Linked DNA regions of Stegostoma tigrinum. The protein of the gene in region 1 interacts with the protein of each later gene in a pairwise test. Links are inferred from orthologs where the notes say so. Each region holds a gene or a part of one and is shown on either strand. Other genes may lie near its edges. The genes, in order: transmembrane protein 43-like and GRAM domain-containing protein 2B.

Region 1 (10,908 bases):
ACCCCACCTCACCTCCTCACCCCCCCACCCCACCTCACCTCCTCACCCCCCCACCCCACCCCCTCACCCCCCCCACCCCACCCCACCCCCTCACCCCCCCACCCCACCCCAACCCACCTCCTCACCCCCCCACCTCACCTCCTCACCCCCCCTCCTCACCCACCTCACCTCCTCACCCCCCTCACCCACCCCACCTCCTAATGCCCCTCACCCACCCCACCTCCTCACCCCCCTCACCCACCCCACCTCCTCACCCACCTCACCCACCCCACCTCCTCACCCACCTCACCCACCCCACCTCCTCACCCCCCTCACCCACCTCACCCACCCCACCTCCTCACCCCCCTCACCCACCCCACCTCCTCATCCCCCTCCTCACCCCGCTCACCCACCCCACCTCCTCACCCCCCCAACGCCTCACCCACCCCACCCCCCTCACCCACCCCACCCCCCTCACCCACCCCACCTCCTCACTCCCCTCACCCACCCCACGCCCTCACCCACCTCACCCACCCCCCTCACCCCCCCCTCCTCACCCCCCCTCCTCACTCACCCCCCTCACCCACCCCCCTCACCCCCCCCTCCTCACCCACCCCTCCTCACCCACCCCCCCTCACCCACCCCACCTCCTCACCCCCCTCCTCACCCCCCTCACCCACCCCACCCCCTCACCCCCCCCCCTCACCCCCCTCACCCACCCCACCCCCTCACCCCCCCCCCTCACCCCCCCTCCTCACCCACCCCCCTCAACCCCCCCTCCTCACCCACCCCCCTCACCCCCCCCTCCTCACCCCCCCCTCCTCACCCACCCCCCTCACCCCCCTCCTCACCCACCCCCCTCACCCCCCCCTCCACACCCCCCCCTCCTCACCCCCCCTCCTCACCCCTCCTCAACCCCCTCACCCCCCCACCTCCTCACCCACCTCACCCCACCCCACTCACCCACCCCCCTCACCCCCCCTCCTCACCCCCCCCTCACCCCCCCACCTCCTCACCCCCCCCACCCCCCCACCTCCTCACCCCCCCCTCCTCACCCCCCTCACCCCCCCCTCCTCACACCCCTCACCCCCCCTCCTCACACCCCTCACCCCCCCACCTCCTCACCCCCCTCACTCCCCACCTCCTCACCCCCCTCACCCCCCCCACCTCCTCACCCCCCTCACCCCCCCACCTCCTCACCCCCCTCACCCCCCCACCTCCTCACCCCCCCACCTCCTCACCCCCCTCACCCCCCCACCTCCTCACCCCCCTCACCCCCCCACCTCCTCACCCCCCTCACCCCCCCACCTCCTCACCCCCCTCACCCCCCCACCTCCTCACCCCCCTCACCCCCCGCTCACCCACCCCACCTCCCGCTCACCCACCCCACCTCCTCACCCCCCTCACCCACCCCTCACACATCCCACCTCCTCACCCCCCTCACCCACCCCACCTCCTCACCCCCCTCACCTCCTCACCCCCCTCACCCACCCCACCTCCTCACCCCCCTCACCCACCCCACCTCCTCACCCCCCTCACCCACCCCACCTCCTCACCCCCCTCACCCACCCCACCCCCTCACCCACCCCACCTCCTCACCCACCCCACCTCCTCACCCCCCTCACCCACCCCACCTCCTCACCCCCCTCACCCACCCCACCTCCTCACCCACCCCACCTCCTCACCCCCCTCCTCACCCCCTCACCCACCCCACCTCCTCAACCCCCTCACCCACCCCACCTCCTCACCCCCCTCACCCACCCCACCTCCTCACCCCCCTCACCCACCCCACCTCCTCACCCCCCTCACCCCCCCCTCCTCACCCCCCCTCACCCCCCCTCACCCACCCCCCTCCTCACCCCCCTCACCCACCCCCCTCCTCACCCCCCTCACCCACCCCCCCTCCTCACCCCCCTCACCCACCCCACCTCCTCACCCACCCCACCTCCTCACCCCCCTCCTCAACCCCACCTCCTCAACCCCCTCACCTCCTCAACCCCCTCACCCACCCCACCTCCTCAACCCCACCTCCTCAACCCCCTCACCTCCTCAACCCCCTCACCCACCCCACCTCCTCAACCCCCTCACCCCCCCCACCTCCTCAACCCCCTCACCCCCCCCACCTCCTCACCCCCCTCACCCACCCCACCTCCTCACCCCCCTCACCCACCCCACCTCCTCACCCCCCTCTTCACCCCCCTCACCCACCCCACCCCACCCCCTCACCCACCCCACCCCACCCCCTCACCCACCTCACCCACCCCACCCCCCTCACCCACCCCACCCCTCACCCCCCTCACCCACCCCCCCTCCTCACCCCCCTCACCCACCCCCCTCACCCCCCCCACCCCCTCACCCACCCCCCTCCTCACCCCCCTCACCCCCTCACCCACCCCCTCACCCACCCCCTCACCCACCCCCCTCACCCACCCCCCTCCCACCCCCCTCACCCCCCCCACCCCCCTCACCCCCCCCCCACCCCCTCACCCCCCTCACCCCCTCACCCACCCCCTCACCCACCCCCCTCCTCACCCCCCTCACCCCCCCCACCCCCTCACCCACCCCCCTCCTCACCCCCCTCACCCCCCCCACCCCCTCACCCACCCCCCTCCTCACCCCCCTCACCCCCCCCACCCCCTCACCCACCCCCCTCCTCACCCCCCCCACCCCCTCACCCACCCCCCTCCTCACCCCCTCACCCCCCCCCACCCCCTCACCCACCCCACCTCCTCACCCACCCCACCTCCTCACCCCCCTCCTCACCCACCCCACCTCCTCACCCACCCCACCTCCTCACCCCCCTCCTCACCCACCCCACCTCCTCACCCACCCCACCTCCTCACCCCCCTCCTCACCCACCCCACCTCCTCACCCCCCTCACCCACCCCACCTCCTCAACCCCCTCACCTCCTCAACCCCCTCACCCACCCCACCTCCTCAACCCCCTCACCCACCCCACCTCCTCACCCCCCCTCACCCACCCCACCCCCCTCACCCACCCCACCCCTCACCCCCCTCACCCACCCCACCCCCCCCACCCCCTCACCCACCCCCCCTCCTCACCCCCCTCACCCACCCCCCTCACCCACCCCCCTCACCCACCCCCCTCCTCACCCCCCTCACCCACCCCCCTCACCCTCCCCCCCTCCCCCTCCCCCCCTCCTCACCCACCCCCCTCACCCTCCCCCCCTCCTCACACCCCTCCTCACCCTCCCCCCCTCCTCACCCCCCCCCCTCCTCACCCCCCCCCCCTCCCCACCCCCCTCACCCACCCCCCTCACCTCACCCACCCCCCTCACCCACCCCCCTCACCCACCCCCCTCACCTCACCCACCCCCCTCACCCACCCCCCTCACCCCACCCACCCCCCTCACCCACCCCCCTCCTCACCCACCCCCCTCCTCACCCACCCCCCTCACCCCCTCACCCACCCCCCTCACCCCCTCACCCACCCCCCTCCTCACCCCCCTCACCCCCCCCACTCCTCACCCCCCTCACCCCCCCCACCCCCCCCACCCCCTCCTCACCCCCCTCACCCACCCCCCTCCTCACCCCCCTCACCCACCCCCCTCCTCACCCCCCCCACCCCCTCACCCACCCCCCTCCCCCACCCCCACCCCCTCACCCACCCCCCTCCCCCACCCCCCTCCTCACCCCCCTCCCCTACCCCCCTCCTCACCCCCCTCCCCTCCTCACCCCCCTCACCCCCTCACCCACCCCCCTCCTCACCCCCTCCTCACCCTCACACCTGACCCTCCGTTCCCCCACCCCCTCACCCACCCCCCTCCTCACCCACCCCCCTCCTCACCCCCTCCTCACCCCCCTCCCCCACCCCCCTCCTCACCCCCCTCACCCCCTCACCCTCACACCTGACCCTCCGTTCCCCACCCCCCCGGCCCCTCACCGTGCCGCCGGCAGTGGGACATCTCTCTCTCTCTCTGTCTCTCTCTCTGTCTCTCTCTCTCTCTCTCTCTCTGTGTGAGGGTTCGTGTCCGGGGGGGTGGGGAAGAAATGTGTTTCTCAGTCTCCGGCCCGTGCTCCCGGCCTGACCTCTGACCCACAGGCAGGAACCAATCACAGCGAGAGGGCGGGGCCAGAACCGGGGGCCCAATTTAAAGCCGCAGAGACGGCCCAAAGCACCTACCCTATGGAATCTATAACATACACCCTATAGAATGCACAATGTCCGTCATACTAATCCATTAGAATGTATAATGTCCACAATACCTACCCTGTAGAATCTATATTTTCCGTAAACCCACCCTATGGAATGTATATTGTCCATAATACCCACCCTATGGAATGTATAATATCCATCACATCCACCTACTGAATAAACAATATTTATTAAGTTATAATGGACCAACGAGTTTGTGAGAATGGGTGATTGTGGTCATTGAGAGAATCAGGTGTGGCTGTGGGTAAAAAGCATGGACGGACTGTATTAGGCTCTTAAGGTTATTGAACTCATTGTTGAGTTCTAGAGGCCACAAGATCCCCGAGTGGAAAGTAAGATGTTCTTTGACCTTGCATTGAGGTTGGCTGGAACTCTACAGCAAGCCTGCAACAGAAATTTTGGCATGAGAACACAGCGGTGTGTTGAAGTGGCAGGCAACAGAAAGCTTAGGATCATTTTTGCAGACAGAGCTTGGTTTTCTGCAAAGCGGTTTGTGTGACGCAGACTAGGTTACATTCTGTACAGCTCACCGATTTTCTCCTACTCTTAGCTCTCATTGTCACATATTCAGTTTTTTTTCTATTCTGGCCTGCTACCCGTAATTTCCCTGTCTACCTAGCTCTTTCATATCTCTGTCTCTGGGCTCCGTCTCCACCAATCCGCCCTCATCTCCCCTTCAGATTCCCAGCTTCAGCTTCAGCATAAATATCACATTTTTCTGGCTCATACCAGCTCTGATGAAGAGTCTCTGGACCCTGTGCTTTCTTCCCACAGTTGCTGTCAGTCCTACTGAGTTTCTCCAGCAATTTCTATTTTTGTTTTAGATTTCCAGCATTTGTAATTCATTGTTTTATTTTAATCTATAGAATCCACAGGCTCAAATATTGTACAATATGTAATAACATGTGATTAATCTGTAGAATTGACCAGCAGGAAAGTGCAGTGAAAGACACAATTGGATGAGTATGAACTTATAGAATGGCAGTATAAGTGAGTTTTGAGAAGTTTTGACAGTATAAGTCAGGGGCTGTCCCTGCTCCAAGCTAAGATGGTCTTGAAATTTTGTGTGGCCATGTTCAGTACAATTGTGCAATCACCTCAATATGAGTGGATGCAGGTGAATAAAGTCATTTATATACTGGGGTTTCATTTTCCCTGGGGACCAGGTTCAAGCTGAAGAAAACTACAGCTCCCAGCATGCTTGCGGGAGGGTCCTAACCTTCCCAGGCGGAGCCCGGGGAGGCCACCACCCAGCATCCTCCGGTAGGTAAGACTACAATCCCCAGCATTCCTGGGGAGTCGACACCATCTCCCGGCAAGCTTCACGGGAGTAGGTCCGTCCCTCAGGAGTGCGCAGGCGCAGAATGTATCCCCCTTGAAGCCGGAAGTGAAGGTGTGAGAGGGGCTAGAGCTGACTGTGGTCTCCCCCCTCAGTGTGTGTTATTGGCAGGGAAACCATGGTGAGGCCTAATGTAAGTTCAGAACCACAAACAACAGCCTTGTCAACGTGCAGGTGAAGATTAATCTGAATTGGCGTTGGACACATTATCATCTGAAGATATTCCTGGGGAAGGGAGTTCCCTTCTATATTCTGACAGCCCAGATCCACGTGGCACAGCTTTGAACCTGAGGAAGACAAAGTTCCCATCTCCCTGGCATATTTGCAAGAGATCTGATATCTCTTCTTGTAAAATCAAAGGGGCTAACCAGAGTCCTTCTCCCTACCTCCCCCCCCCCCCCCCCCCCCAATCAGAACCACCAACCCTTCCCTATGTCTACTATGGCCCTGGACTGAAGCCAACAACTCTCCATCAGTTGCTGTTTTTTTTGTTTCTAATCAGCACAATTGTTGGCCAGTGCCAGAGCAAATCAAAATGATGCTGCACTATAATCAAAACATAATGGGTGGGAGGGTGCAAGTCTTGGTTAGTGAGATGTCACTGACGATGTGTAAATGACTTCAGACCCATTTGTCAAGATTATATTTTAAATGCTGTGTAAGATCCTCAGCTAAGTCAGTCAGCTCAATTATACTGGTTCTGGGTAAAATGAATGGGCAATAAATGTCAGTCTGACCAGGAATGCCCACAGCCCAACATCAAAAATTGTGTCACTGTTGTTTAAACACCTTCTGTTTTTGGGTGTGCCTGTACTGAATGGCCTGCAGCAGTTAATGAAGGCAGACAACATTTTGAAGGGAATTTAGAGATGGCCAGCCTAGCCAATACTATTCCACATCCCGTGAAAATGTTTACAAAGTTCATCTGTCTTCATTTCGCTTTTAAGATGGTACTTAAAGATTCATGAAAGCTTGTCCCTTCTGGTTTTGCAGCAACCAGGAGGCAGCAGGGATGAACACGTGAAGGTCACAAATCAGAAGAAGCAGGGATTCCTGGAACGTCTTGGGGAGACAATGGGGGGAATGGTGGTGGGAGTGCTTATCTTCACCTTGTCCTTCTACCTCCTCTTCACCAATGAGGTAGGTGCAGAGGTTGGATTACATGCTGTTTTCTGGGCAGGCATCAGTTATCCTGTTCAATTTGTGGTATCAGTGTCTGTTGCTCAGTGGGTAGCTCGCGCTCATTTCTGAATCAGAAGTTCATGGGTTCAAATCCCACATCAGGGACCTGGGCAAACAGAAGAATCTGAGGTGATAGTTTTTGTAAAATGCATGATGAGGAACGTTGATGTGAAACTTAACTGGATTTGATACACAACAAAACGTAAACAACGTGGCTACAAGAGCAGGTCAGAGGCTAGGAATACACCGGTGTGTAACTCCCCTCCTGACTCCCCAAAACACATCTAACCATCTAAAGGCACAAGTCAGGAGTGTGATGGAATACTCCCCACTTGCCTGGATGGATGCAGCTCTAACAACACTCAAGAAGGAATGAGGTGTGCAGTGAGCTGCCAATGTGTCGTTACTTGGCTTCATGTTCCTTACAGATAAAAGATCAAAGCTGAATGAGCTGAACTGTGAACTGCACAGAGAGGATAGAGACTTAGCAATGTGGGATCATTTCTACAGGCTAATTTCAGGAATTAGATGCATTGGAATGAACGGTCATGTCTCCCTCCGGTCTCTTCCTTCAAGTAGACGTTGTTGGGCTGGCTATCAGATTCCATTAGGTATTTGATTTACAAGTCCGTGGTATTGAAGTGGACATAATTAACTGTGCCAAATGATATTGAGCTGGAAGCTGGAACAAGGGACAGTGATGTTTGGAGATTTGTAAACAGAGAAAAATACACACTGCTATTATCCTGTGGTTTTACAATGAAAGCTTTGGTACCACATCCCTCTGAGACAGCATTCTCCCAAATACAGATAATCAAGTCCAAGTATCTCACCTGCCTCACAAATGCCCGTGTGATGGACTGTATAGAACTAGCTAGTTCAAATTATAATTTGGCTACTCAAAGAGGAGGATAACATACTGAGCCTATATGTAGAAGACAAAATGAATAATCAGATATACTAAAAATAAATGCATTATTTTCTTTCAGGTAGATTCTTGTTTGCACTAAAACTCAAAAAGTGATCTTGTGCTTAAGAATGTTGAAGTCCCTTGAAATAACACCATCTTCCTTCCTCTGGCTATCTGAGTTCTTCTAGATGTTGTCATGTCCCGGTTACCGCTCACTAGTATTCCCTGTAAACTGGGCACAGCAGCGTGGTAGGGCAGTGACACAGAATATTCTGCTTGGTGCAGTTACCAGGAACATTGCCCATGTGTGTTGTTGATGAACGTTTTGCTCACAGTCTGACGGTAATTCCATTGAAAAAATCATCAACCACTTGTTTGAACCCAACATAGACTCGCACTTTACATCTTGCTGTAACCTCTTCCAGTCCCCAAATCCTCCGATATCTCTGCCTCGCTCCAATTCTAATCCCTGGAGTATCTGTGATTTTAATCCCTCCGCCATTGAATGCTATACCGACAGCTGTCTGGACTCAACACTCTAGAATTCCCTCCATAAACCTCTCTAATTGTCTCTTTCTTTATCTCTCTATCCTCCTTTAAGATGCCGGTCTGTTTGAGATTTTGGTCACTAATGCTGCATTTTTATGTTGCTGGGTGACGGTTATTCTCTAATCTACGTTCTTGTGAAATGTCTTGGAACATTTTATATTGTGCTGATGTAGTTCTATAAAAGCAGGTTTATTTACAAGGCTCCTCTGACAACATCTCCTAAAACCATAACAGTTACCATCTGGAAAGAAAACGGTAGCACATGCAGGCACTCGCTGGGTTGGGAATGGGTCCCAGTCCTGACCCCATTCACAAACTGACTTGTACCCAGATTGGAGCACAGTGAAGGACAGTGTAGAGGAACTGTTCCTAAATTCAGGAAGTGTTCATGTGTTGGGTGTATAAAATTTCTCCCTTTATGGAATTGTGTTTGTAAGTAGGAGTGTTTGTAAATCAGTGACCCCCGTATGTGGGAACACCATCCCCTGCAAGTTCCCCTCCAAGCCCCTCACCATCCTGACTTGGAAATATATCCCCGTTCCTTCAGTGCCACTGTGCCAAAATCCTGGAATTCCCTCCCTAAGGGACATTGTGGGTCAACTCACAGCACATGGACTGCAGTGGCTCTTGAAGGCATCTCATCCCCACCTTCTCAAGAGAGCAACTACGGACGGACAATAAATGTTGAATTGAATTGAGTTAACTCTATTGTCATGTACTCAAATGAGTACAGTGATCAGTTTATGTGTCGCCACTTACAGCACCACCTTAGGTACAAAGGTACCGAGGTTCAGATTCTTTAGTAACTCCGTCTTAGAAAACAGAGAAGTAAAAGCCCAGAACAACCATCTTCCCACCCAGCCCACACTGGCACCTCCAGTCCACACTGGGCCCTGGCTCCAGATCATGCTTGGCCAAGAGACTGCCACACTGGGGTGTCCAGCTAGTCACACCCATGTCCTGTGAATTAATTGTTAATATATGTTGCTGTCTTCAGCTGCTGTGGTGAATGAGCTTTCTTTTGTCTAATTTTCACTCCATAGCACTTATCAATGTTTGCCAACTGTAACACTCCTTCTTGTGCAGGGAAGATGTGTCAGAACTCAGAACTCCCTGGATGAAGGTCTTTCCCTGGTGGTGTCCTTAAGTGATGTCTTCACTCCTTTACCTCAAAATGATGGGAAACTTGTGCATCTCTCTGGCTCCCTCTTGACATTGCAGGTGAGTGAGGAATATCCTGTCTTGAAAATAAATAGTTTCCTGAGGTAATGGGGTCAAATAGATGGAGGTGATGGCCTAATGGTATTATCACTGCATGGGTAAACGCCAGCTAATGTTCTGGGCACCAGGGTTCAAATCCCACCCCGACAAATGATAGAACTTGATCAATTAAACAGAAAACCTGTAATTATAAATATATTGATGACCATGTAACCATTGTTGATTGTTGTAAAATCCTGTCTGAGTCTATTAGTATCCTTTGAGGAAGAAATATGCCATCCTTACCCTGGCCCACATGGGACTTCAGATCCACAGCAGTGTGGTTGACTCTTAACCCTATGAAATGGCCTTGCAAGCCACTCAGTTGTGTCAATTGCTAGAAAGGAAAAAATATTAAATGTGACAGATCACCTGGCATTGACCTAAGATAATGGCAGAAACAGCCCTGTCGACCCTACAGTGTCCTCCTTACTGAGATACTGGTGCTAGTACAACTAGGAGAGCTCTCTCATATTCACAGAATCATACCTTACAAACAGTGTCCCAGATACCAGCATCACCATCCCTGGAAATGTCCTGTCGCACTGAGAGGTCAGACCCGGTTGGGGGACGGTTAAACATGGGCAAGGAAACCTCCTGCTAATTACCACATACCATCCTCCCTCAGCCGATGGATCAGTCTCTCCTCCATGTTGAACAACACTTAGAGGAACCACTGAGGATGCTAAGGGCACAAAATGTGCTCTGGGTGGGGGATTTCAATGCCCAACACGAACAGTGGCTCCACAGCAGTACTACTGATCGAGCTGGTCGGGTCCTAAAGGACAGAGCTGTCAGACTGGGTCTGCGGCAGGTGGTGAGGGAACCAACAAGAGGGAAGAACATACTTGACCTCATCCTCACCAATTTACCAGCTGCAGATGCATCTGTCTGTGACAGTATCGGTGAGAGTGACCATCGCACAGCCCTTGTGGAGATAAAGTCCCACCTTCACATTGAAAACAACCTCCATTGTGTTGTGTGGCACTATCACTGTGCTAAATGGGGCAGACTTCACACAGATCCAGCAACTCAAGGCTGGGAACCCATGAGGCGCTGTGCTCCACCAACAGCAGCAGAATTGTACTCCGGCACAATCTGTAATCTCATGGCTCGGCACAGTCCCCGCTCAACCATTACCGTCAAGCCAGGGGATCAACCCTGGTTCAGTGGAGAGTGCAGGAGGGCATGCCAGGAGCTGCACCAGGCATACCTGAAGATGGGGTACCAACCTGGTGAAGCCACCAAACAGGATACTTGCATGCCAAACAGCGAGAGCAGCAAGCGATAGACAGAGCTAAGCGATCCCACAGCCAATAGATCAGATCTAAGCTCTACAGTCCTGCCATGTCCAGTCATGAATGGTGGTGGACAATTAAACAGCTCACTGGAGGAGGACGCTTCACAAATATCCCCGTCCTCACTGATGGAAGAGCCCAGCACATCAGGGCAAAAAATAAGGCTGAAGCATTCGCAGCAATCTTCAGCCAGAAGTGCTGAGTGGATGATCCA
Region 2 (10,857 bases), on another chromosome or scaffold:
ACTATTAGATCTGATGAAGGGTCACTGCACCTGAACTGTTAACTCCGCTTTCTCTCCACCGATGTTGCCAGTTTCTCCCAAAATTTCTGTTTCCGTCTAGGATGAGGGGATGGTTCTACAACAGGCTGAGTAAATTGGGTTTATATTCATAGAATTTAGAAGAATGAGATGTGATCAGATTGAAACATTAAAGATAATGAAGGGGCTAAACAGGGTATATTCTAAGACATTGTTCCCTAGTCTAAGGATACAAGAAAAAGGGTACAGATTTTGGACAAATCGTCAACCACTTAGAACCAAGATGAGGAGAAACTCCTTTACTTACCTGGTTGAGAAACTTGGAATTCTCTACCCAGAAGACTGTGAATGCTCCATTATTCAATTCATTTAAGGCTTGAATGGACAGGTGTTTGCACTTTTGGAGAATAAAGTGATGAGGAAGAGAAGGTGGGAAGGTGAAATTGAAGCCAAAGATCAGTCCTAGACATACTGGCAAGTATGGCAAGTTTAACAGGCCCTTAGCAAACTATTTTGTAAATTACTGAATAGGTGTATCAACTATATTCTGAGGCTCATATTTTTAGATCATACTGTTATCTCTCCCATCTCCTATAGCTGTCGTATAATTATGAAGAGCATTTCTTCCTGTTATCAGAGTTTTGTGCAGTACCAGTCAGAGAAATGCAGACTAGGAAATAAGGTCAAAACAGAAGAAAAATGTCTTCATACACTCACTCAAAAATAAATTACTTCTGCTGGCAGAAGTGCACTTTGAAAATATTGTGATGCCTCTGTTGGTGAATGGAGCATCTTCCACTTCAGACCCTGAATATTAGCAAACATTTTAAAAATTCATTCATGCAATGTGAGCATTGCTGGTTAGGCCAGCATTTGTTGCCCATCCTTGCTTGTGCATAGGGCAGTTAAGAGTTAACCATATTGCAATGAGTTTGGAGTCACATGTAGGCCAGACCAGGTAAGGATGGCAGATTTCCTCCCCCAAAGAACATTAATGAACCAGATGTGTTTTTGTTACAATTAATGGTGATTACATGATTGCTATTAGGCCAGCTGTTCAGTCCAGAGCTTTTCATTGAGTTCAAATTTCACCATCTCCCATGGCAGAATTCTAGCTGTATGCTAAGACATTAGCCTGGGGCTCTGGTTTGTTAGTCCATTGACATAACACCACCACCACCTTTAAATGTGCAGGAAAGCTCCAATAATGTGCTGAAATATACCATTCGCATTGCTCGTGATACACTTTCCATTCCTTGTACCAGCTATCCCATAATTTCTTTATGAACATTATTAAATGCTAAACAGTAACAATACAGCAGCATATCAGCTTAGTGTGGGGCTTAAACATACAAATGTCTGATTCAGGAACAGAAACAAAGATAGACTTACTTTCCACTTATATTTCATGATCTTGGGACTCGCCGAAGCTCTTTATAGCCGATGGAGTACATTTGATACGCTGTCATTTTTGCAATGTTGGCAAGTAGCAGCTAATGTGCACATAGCCGTCCATAAATAGCAATACAAATCATCAGAGAATCTTTTGTTGTGAGATGGTTTGCGAGTTAAACATTGGTCAGGATACCAGGGACAACCCCATTGCTTTCTTCAAGGTAATATCATGAGATCTTTGACATTCTGTTGCAATAACAGACAGGTGTCAATTTAAGGTCTCCATCAAAAGGCTGCACCTTTGAAAGTGGAGCACTTCGTCAATACTACGCCAACATGCAGCCAAACTTTTATTCTGGAATCAGAGGAGTGGAGTGAGACTTTAGTTCACAATGATCTGGCTGAGAGGCGAGGATTACACAAAGCCTCACTGGAAGGGACTGGGAATGTGTCAGGTATGCTGTCGCTGTGACTCAAGGAAATACTGCTGTAATGATGTTTTTTCTAAACTGAACTGAATGCAGATATCTGCTCCAAATGCAAAGCCTTTGAAATGTAACGTCCCTCATGATAAACCTGAGATTGCAATCATGAGTCAAATCCAGGCCCACGGTATAGCACAGCTATCGTAGACACACCAACACTGGCAATAGCAATTTAATGGCAAAAATAGTCCCATTGCTGCTTCTGGATGCAGTGAAACCCATCTGAAGAAAAGAGCAATGATGCTCACTGGGGATGACCACCAAGAACAAGCACTAGTGTGCTCAGGAATATCAATTTCCCATGCAGAGGTTCTGCTATAACGTATAGTTGTGTACCCGTGCAACATCGTGTAACAGAAAAATCGCACCAATGAAATAATGAGTCCTATGGGAAAAATGGGATTGGGGCAGACAACAACAAAAAAAATCACTCAATATTTGCTCAAAAATCACTCAAAAGCCTAACACAAAGGATAACACAACTTGAATAAATGTTTAGTTCATATCTAATAGTGAAATAAAAGTAAATTTAACATGTTACCTTGAAAAAATGTCAAGTTGACTAGATGGGGACGAAGGTTGTACTGTACCTCTCACAAAAAGCACTTCACAACAAAGCCCACAAATGATCATGTGATGCTGGTGTGGAGACTCTATCGGTGCTAACATTGTTTCACAGGCTTTGTCGTGAAACAGTACAATCATGTGATGCTGACATGTGCTCCTCCACACACCAATGGAATCATGTTATAGCCAACACAAGTTGGCATTTTAAAGACAGCAGGAACTGCAGATGCTGGAGAATCTGACATAACAAGGTGTAGAGCTGGATGAACACAGCAGGCCAAGCAGCATTAGAGGAGCAGGAAAGCTGACATTTCGGGTCTGGACCCTTCTTCAGAAATGGATCTTCTGAAGAAGGGTCCGGACCCGAAACGTCAGCTTTCCTGCTTCTCTAATGTTGCTTGGCCTGCTGTGCTCATCCAGCTCTACGCCTTCTTATTTCATATTTTAGAAACAGTGTTCCCCTATTCATCAATCGCATTATCGCCAATTTGCATTGACAGAACACGCATTATAGCAGAACCAATCTGCCCCGGGTTTCACCGTCATCAAAACAGAAACCACACATCAGGAGCCACACTGTGTTCCAGCCACTAGAGGGCCCAGCAGCTCATTTTAAGCACTATAATTTAACCAATAATTCCATATGTGGCATTACAGAGAGATAGCTATTGCACATTGTGCAAAGGATATGAAGAGAGTCTGCACACACGTAGACGTGTCCACCACTTCACAATGTTTTATGCAGAGGAAGCTGTCAGCTGTTGGTTTTGTACTTTTCCAGATCGGTGGGGAGAAGAGCAAACAGCGATGGAACGAAGTCATATTTACCTTTGATTGCTTTTGAAGAAACTTCTTATTTTGTTTTGGACTTAGAATCCGTTATAGTACAGGGCAAACTTCAGTACACTGAATATTCGGCGATATTGAAGAACCTCTTTGAGCTGCATAAACGATATGACCTTCCAACTTGGCCCCAGCCTTCAATTTTATACAGATACAAACCAAACTGCACGAATGTATAGAAGATAACAAAGTGTGAAGCTGGATGAACACAGCAGGCCAAGCAGCATCTCAGGAGCACCAAAGCTGAAATTTCGGGCCTAGACTCTTCATCAGAGAGGAGGATGGGGTGAGGGTTCTGGAGTAAATAGGGAGAGAGGGGGAGGCGGACGGAAGATGGAGAGAAAACAAGCTAGGTAGAGAGGAGAGTATAGGTGGAGAGGTAGGGAGGGGATAGGTCAGTCCAGGGAAGATGGACAGGTCAAGGAGGCAGGATGAGGTGGTAGGTAGGAAATGGAGGTGCGGCATGAGGTGGGAGGAAGGGATGGGTGAGAGGAAGAACAGGTTAGGGAAGCAGAGACAGGCTGGGCTGGTTTTGGGATGCAGTGGGGGGAGGGGACAAGCTGGGCTGGTTTTGTGATGCAGTGGGGGAAGTGGGGGGGAAGAACTGGGCTGGTTTTGGGATGCAGTAGGGGAAGGGGAGATTTTGAAGCTTATGAAGTCCACGTTGATACCATTGGGCTGCAGGGTTCCCAAGCGGAATATGAGTTGCTGTTCCTGCAACCTTTGGGTGGCATCATTGTGGCACTGCAGGAGGCCCATGATGGACATGTCGTCTGAAGAATGGAAGGCGGAGTTGAAATGGTTTGCGACTGGGAGGTGCAGTTGTTTGTTGCGAAGCGAGCAGAGGTGTTCTGCAAAGCAGTCCCCAAGCCTCCGCTTGGTTTCCCCAATGTAGAGGGTGCCACACCGGGTGCAATGGATACAATATACCATATTGACAGATGTGCAGGTGAACATCTGTTTGATATGGAAGGTCATCCTGGGGCCTGGGATGGGGGTGATGGGGGATGAGGCATGAAGGTGCCGAGTGTGGTGGGGTTGGAGTGGACAAGGGAGTCGCGGAGAGAGTGGTCTCTCCAGAAGGCAGACAAGGATGGGGATGGAAAAATGTCTTGGGTGGTCGGGTCAGATTGTAGATGGCGGAAGTGTCGGAGGATGATACGTTGTATCCGGAGGTTGGTGGGGTGGTATGTGAGGACGAGGGGGATCCTCTGGGGGCGGTTGTGGCGAGGGTGAGGTGTGGGGGATGTGTTGCGGGAAATGCGGGAGACGTGGTCAAGAGCGTTCTCGACCACTGCGGGGGGAAAGTTGCGGTCCTGGAAGAATGTGGACATCTGGGATGTGCGGGAGTGGAATGCCTCATCCTGGGAGCAGATGCGGCAGAGGCAGAGGAATTGGGAATAGGGGATGGAATTTTTGCAGGAGGGTGGGTGGGAGGAGGTGTATTCTAGGTAGCTGTGGGAGTCAGTGGGCTTGAAATGGACATCAGTTTCTAGCTGGTGGCCTGAGATGGAGGCTGAGAGGTCCAGGAAGGTGAGGGATGTGTTGGAGATGGCCCAGGTGAACTTGAGGTTGGGGTGGAGGGTGTTGGTAAAGTGGATGCTTCGCATAAACAACTGCACCTCCCAGTCGCAAACCATTTCAACTCCGCCTCCCATTCTTTAGATGACATGTCCATCATGGGCCTCCTGCAGTGCCACAATGATGCCACCCGAAGGTTGCAGGAACAGCAACTCATATTCCACTTGGGAACCCTGCAGCCCAATGGTATCAACGTGGACTTCATAAGCTTCAAAATCTCCCCTTCCCCCACCGCATCCCAAAGCCAGCCCAGTTCTTCCCCCCTCCCCCCACTGCATCACAAAACCAGCCCTTTCGTTCCCTCCCCCCACTGCATCCCAAAACCAGCCCAGCCTGTCTCTGCTTCCCTAACCTGTTCTTCCTCTCACCCATCCCTTCCTCCCACCTCAAGCCGCACCTCCATTTCCTACCTACCACCTCATCACGCCTCCTGGACCTGTCCATCTTCCCTGGACTGACCTATCCCCTCCCTACCTCCCCACCTATACTCTCCTCTCCACCTATCTTCTTTTCTCTCCATCTTCGGTCCACCTCCCCCTCTCTCCCTGTTTATTCCAGTTCCCTCTCCCCATCCCCCTCTCTGATGAAGGGTCTAGGCCCGAAACGTCAGCTTTTGTGCTCCTGAGATGCTGCTTGGCCTGCTGTGTTCATCCAGCTCCACACTTTGTTATCTTGGATTCTCCAGCATCTGCAGTTCCCATTATCACTGCACAAATGTATAGCTGTTTAAAACAGTAGCAACAGCAGGGCTTAATATCCACGCACAGATAAACCCTATGCCAAATCGTAGGGGTGTCAAAACGTTCCTCTCCGTTCTACTTAATGCATCTTAGCTAAAGAGTGGAGACAGCCCTCAAAGGTTGTGAATTTGTCTGTTTCTTCACCGAGGCTCCAGCATTTTCTCCAAGTATTACCTCATACAGTGTGATCAAAATACCCGGGCACGTTGTGAAGTAATACCCTGTCTAAATAATTGACAATATGTACTTACACCATTGATAGCTGCACGAAATTGGAGGGTTGCTGTCATACACACCCTGAGTGCCTGCAGAGCTAGCAGTTTCGTTTATGATTGGTTGAAATAACAAGGAGGGGTGGATACTACACAATTGGAGGTGTTCCCTCCGGGCGATAGGTGGACTGTTCAGTAAAATCTAAAATAAAAGTTTGTACGCCTGCTTTAAGAAAGTTTGCAACCTATCTGACTAAGTTCTCCTAGTTAGATTAGCAAACAGTTTTTGTTCTCCTTTCGGCTTTCCTCAGGAAAGGCTACCCGTCCGGTGGTGCGATTTTCGAGCATACTCACGTCTGCCTGGAACAAAGAACATCCCTTCCCCCTCTTCCCTGAAGTCTGGGGGAGTGTTATACAGGGGTGAAGCCAGTTTGTAAGTCGAGTAATTCGTAAGAAAGAAGCCAATGACTGAGCAAAGCCAGAATTCTACTCCAGGGGAAGAAGTGAAGTCTACAAGATTTCTTAGTAAAAAAGACTCTAAAAACGTTTCATTTCAGTAAGTATGACGTTTTCCTCCGAAGCATTATTTTAAATTGCAATTGCTGAATATTGAGTGTTGTTTGCAAGTAAAATGTTTGAATCTTAAGCTGCTTTAGTTTAGCTTTTGTATGTTTTACCTATATGCAGACTGTTACTGCCAACTTTAGTTTCAAGTTTAGCTTACTAGGCCTCTAATGCTTGAATGCTAAGTGATTTACCTTTTACAGACAGTATTTTGCTGTCTTGTAGAACAACACATTGTTTCATCATTTGCCCAAATGAACTATTATTGAAAAGGAGTAGCAGATAATGAGTGTTATTTCACTTTTAATTTGAGTTCTGCAGGTTTGTTTACCTAGTTCCTTTTAACTCTACAATATCTAACAGCAATGTTTTGGTTAGATGAAAGCATCTGAAACAAACTATTTTAGATATAGATCTTTAGCAAGCACTTCTTGATCAGCTTTAAGAACAAGAAAATTTCAAGTTTAAGTACTTCTTCTCCAATAAAGGGAATAAACTTTGTTTTCAGTATATCAGTACAGTGCCAGGTGCTTTCAAAAATTTTCATAACTAACATAATTACTTACAGTAATGGTGCACTTAACATTGTCACCTCTGAATCCATTATTCTTCACAACAGTAGAAAGTAATTCCAATATTGCCTATTGATTTGAATCTGACCCACCACTTGGAGGCTACAATGCATCAATTGAGCTTGACATCACAAGAAATGATTGTGTGGGATGGGGGTTATGCAGAAAAGAAGACTTTGTTTGATCAGTGCACAGTTTTTCTAATCCCAAGATATCCTGAAGCACTTCCCAGTCTGTGAAATGCCATTGTAGTAAAGCTGCCAGTTGGTGGAAAGCAAAGTCCCAAGCAGCAAAATAAAATTTTATTCTATCATTGAATAGAGTAGCACAGAAGACTGTCAGCCCATTGACTAACACTATAGCTCATTTTTTAAAAAAAAACAGTTCAATTAACCTCACTTTGTTTAATTGTTGACTGAGGAATAAATATGTGCCACAACACTGGAGAGAATGTGCCTGATGCCCATCAAAATATTGATGACACCTTTCCATTTATCTGTGGAGGCAGACCAGAAGACTGTGCCTCTACCAGTGCATTAATATTCAGTGATGCATTGCTATGTCCACAAAGATTTTTGTGCTGTAATTTCTGGAGTGGACCCTGAATGCATAAACCTCTGCCTCAGTCTGTTTCCAGTAGGGTTTAGCTCAAAGTTAGGAGAGCAACCAGACAAGCTTCACTAGAGATACAATTACATCACCTGAATCAGGTCACGTTCTCTACATCCTGCTCTGTGGAAAATATAGAGACATCCTATTCCAGCTACTGGGTCACCACAACTATCTTGACTGTTGCCCAGTTGTTCAACTTCACATCAGTTATGTCTGTACCATGTTTTGCTGCAGCACCTTGAATAGGCTTGCCCCTGTCTGTTCACCCCCTGCAACCTGTGCTGGTAGCCCATTTCTGACGACTAGTCCAGCACTACTTCCAGCAGAGTATGCTGTCAGTGCTTTCAATCTTGTTTCTCCCTTTCTTTTTCTCCTTTCTCTTCCCACCCTGCCATTCTGTCACTATGCTCAAAGCATAATGCATGGTTGTCTCAATGCTCCGACATCCAAGTCAGTCTTAACCTACTTGTTCTCTCTCTCTCTCTCGCTCGTTTGTTTATCCTACCCGGTCCCAATTTAATTTTATCCATTTTCCTTTCACTAATGCCCACTTGCAGCTCCACATTCCCCACCCCCACACTCATCCAGTCATCTTCTTGAATCACTTTGGTTGTAGGGAGTTTTTAATCCAGTGATAAGAAGGGATAGTGAAATAATCCAAGTCAGGATGGTGCAAGGGTCAGAGATAAACTTGCAGTGATAGTGTTCTAATGCATCTATGGTCTTCTACTTTCTAAGTAGAGGTAGTTACGAGCTTGAAAGACAGTATAAGAGGAGCCTTGTTGAGTTACAGAACACCCAGTGCAGAAACAGACCCTTCGGTCCAATTTGGTCATGTCAACCAAGTTTTCCCAAATTAAACTAGTCCCACTTACCTGTGTTTGGCCTGTATCCACCTAAACCTCTCCTATTCACGTACTTGTTCAAATGCCTTTTAAATGTTGTTGTAATTGTGTTGGCTGCGAGCACTTGAAACCAAAAGTGCTGGGGATCATAGGGGACCAGGCAGCATCCATGGAAGGAGAGTAAGCTAATGCTTGAAGACTAGGTGACTCTTCTTCAGAGCTGAGGTGAATTGTGGATTGGACAGCGTTTAAGCAATAGTGAATTGTCCCCTCCACACTTCACCTTGAGACAATTTTAAGTAATCATCTATTGCAAGCAAAACAGAACACATCATAATCAAAACATGAAGCATTAACAGAAATAGCTGGAAAATCTCAGCATGCCTGGCATCATCTAGAGAGAGAAATCTGAGTTAACATTTCAGGTCCACTGACCCTTCTGAAACCCAAACAAATCTTTAACAAATGCTTGTGCTGTACAGAAACTCAAACTACTTTTGAACAGCTTTATATACAATGATGCTTCAGTGCAGTGAAATCTCAAGGCTCCAGTTCCTGAATTAGGATCACCGAGTTTGACTTTTTTGTTGTTGTTGAACTGAAGCTAAGTAATTGCTGCCCCTGTGTTCAGACCCTGGCTTTGTAAAATGGGAAATGCAAGAATAACAACTACTTGGATTGGTGTGACTGAGGGTAATTGATCTCTCCATGTGGATTTTGTGTTGTTGATTTATTTTCTATTGATTTAACTTTCCTGTTGGCTCCTTTTGTTCAATAATGGAAAGTAAGATGATACAAAATCTTTATAACATTGAAAGGAGGCAGTATATTTCCAGAGGGGAAAAAGTAAGAAAAAAATGCGAAAACTGTAGGAGGTGCAATATGGGAGAGAGAGAGATAATGGGAACTGCAGATGCTGGAGATTCCAAGATAATAAAATGTGGGGCTGGATGAACACAGCAGGCCAAGCAGCATCTCAGGAGCACAAAAGCTGACGTTTCGGGCCTAGACCCTTCATCAGAGAGGGGGATGGGGGGAGGGAAAAGGTGCAATATGGACCTGTTCATGTATATTGGCAAGATGCAGAGGATTTTCAACTGTGATTTCTGTTTGGATATTGTTCCTTTCACGGAATGAAAAATGACTAGTATATTAAAAATTTCTACATAGTTCGAGATTTTGACCTGCTAATGTCCTGTTGTTATCACAAAGGGTCTCACAAAAAGACTGCATATTCGATAGAAGCTTAATACACTAGTTCTATGATGTACTGTGTAAAAGATTTGGGTACAGATCCTTTGGTAGATAATCCTTTTATACAGGCCACTAAAAAATAAGAATTAGCAAACATAACCGTGTTATGGTGTTTAATAATAGCAGCAGGTTGATAGGGGTGTGGACACAGACATGGCCTTTTGGTATCACACAGACTGGATTGTTCCTGTAGAATGACGGACTTTTCAGCTGCATTTGGCAATGAGAATATGAACTCGGTAACATCCCATATGTGTAGCCACTTCCCATTTCCTTCTAGGAACAATATTTGGAAATTAAGTAACTCTCATTAGGGTCAGGAAAGTAGAATGAAAGCGCTTCGAATACAAAGATATTAAATTTGGAGCTTTGAAATAGATTTGGGAGAAGAGCGTTGAAAGTTTGAGCATTTGTTGGGGATGCTTTGTGTGTACTTAAATGCTTGAAATGGGAAATACCAAACTTTTTAAAAGATCAAGCAGTGACCTTTTTTTTAATGTTGTGTGGCTGGATTAGAGCAACGCTGGGTCTAATTTATCCCGAATCTTGTGAAATCATGACAAACAATAAAACCACTGCATAGGTCTGATGTATGAACAAAGAATTCAAAAACACTAAGTTAATCTCTCAGCTGAACTCTTGCATACACTGAGCTGTCGGCTGCCTTACTCCAAAGCCATCAGATGTCAGCTTAGTCATTTTGGAAAGATTACATGTCCATTGTTTGACCTGTTACTTGAACCCATAAGCCTCTGAACTACTTCTACTGTATCATTATCCAGCGACCCAGTTGGCAGAAGCTGTTATTTCATCCAGATAAAAAGATGTCAATAGTCCCAAAGCTGAAGTTTCAATTATTTTATTTTTGAGTTCAAACCTGTGTTTTTAATTACTTTTGACGTTTACCCATTGGTCATGCAAAGAATGGCACACCCTAAATTTTTCTTCTTTATTTGGGATGCAACTTCGAGATGCGAAACTATAAACGATCGAGCCGCCATCTCTCCATGGGCTTGATCCAGAAAGAATGATCATAAAGGTGTCAGAGTTTAAAGATTTTATTTTCAAGTTTGGCATTAATTGAAGACAGACAACTGTTAAAAATAAATCATTTTTAAGTAATGCACTGAACAGCTGACTAGAAAAATGTGTTGAGCACATTATTCAAA

The links.
Region 2: the proteins of transmembrane protein 43-like (region 1) and GRAM domain-containing protein 2B interact in binary tests that used the Homo sapiens proteins (3 or more experiments, as listed by UniProt). The two-hybrid records come from large-scale screens. The link is inferred for Stegostoma tigrinum from reciprocal best matches to the Homo sapiens genes TMEM43 and GRAMD2B.

Annotation. Positions count from the first base shown.
Region 1 is NC_081364.1:2,798,732-2,809,639, forward strand, and holds the start of transmembrane protein 43-like, read left to right. Parts: upstream 1-5,493; 5' UTR 5,494-5,613; coding exon 5,614-5,628; intron 5,629-6,488; coding exon 6,489-6,635; intron 6,636-9,222; coding exon 9,223-9,357; intron 9,358-10,908. Other genes in the region: mitochondrial intermembrane space import and assembly protein 40-like, read right to left, coding at 3,884-3,905. UniProt on the Homo sapiens protein: May have an important role in maintaining nuclear envelope structure by organizing protein complexes at the inner nuclear membrane. Required for retaining emerin at the inner nuclear membrane.
Region 2 is NC_081356.1:69,134,922-69,145,778, reverse strand, and holds the start of GRAM domain-containing protein 2B, read left to right. Parts: upstream 1-5,988; 5' UTR 5,989-6,305; coding exon 6,306-6,397; intron 6,398-10,857.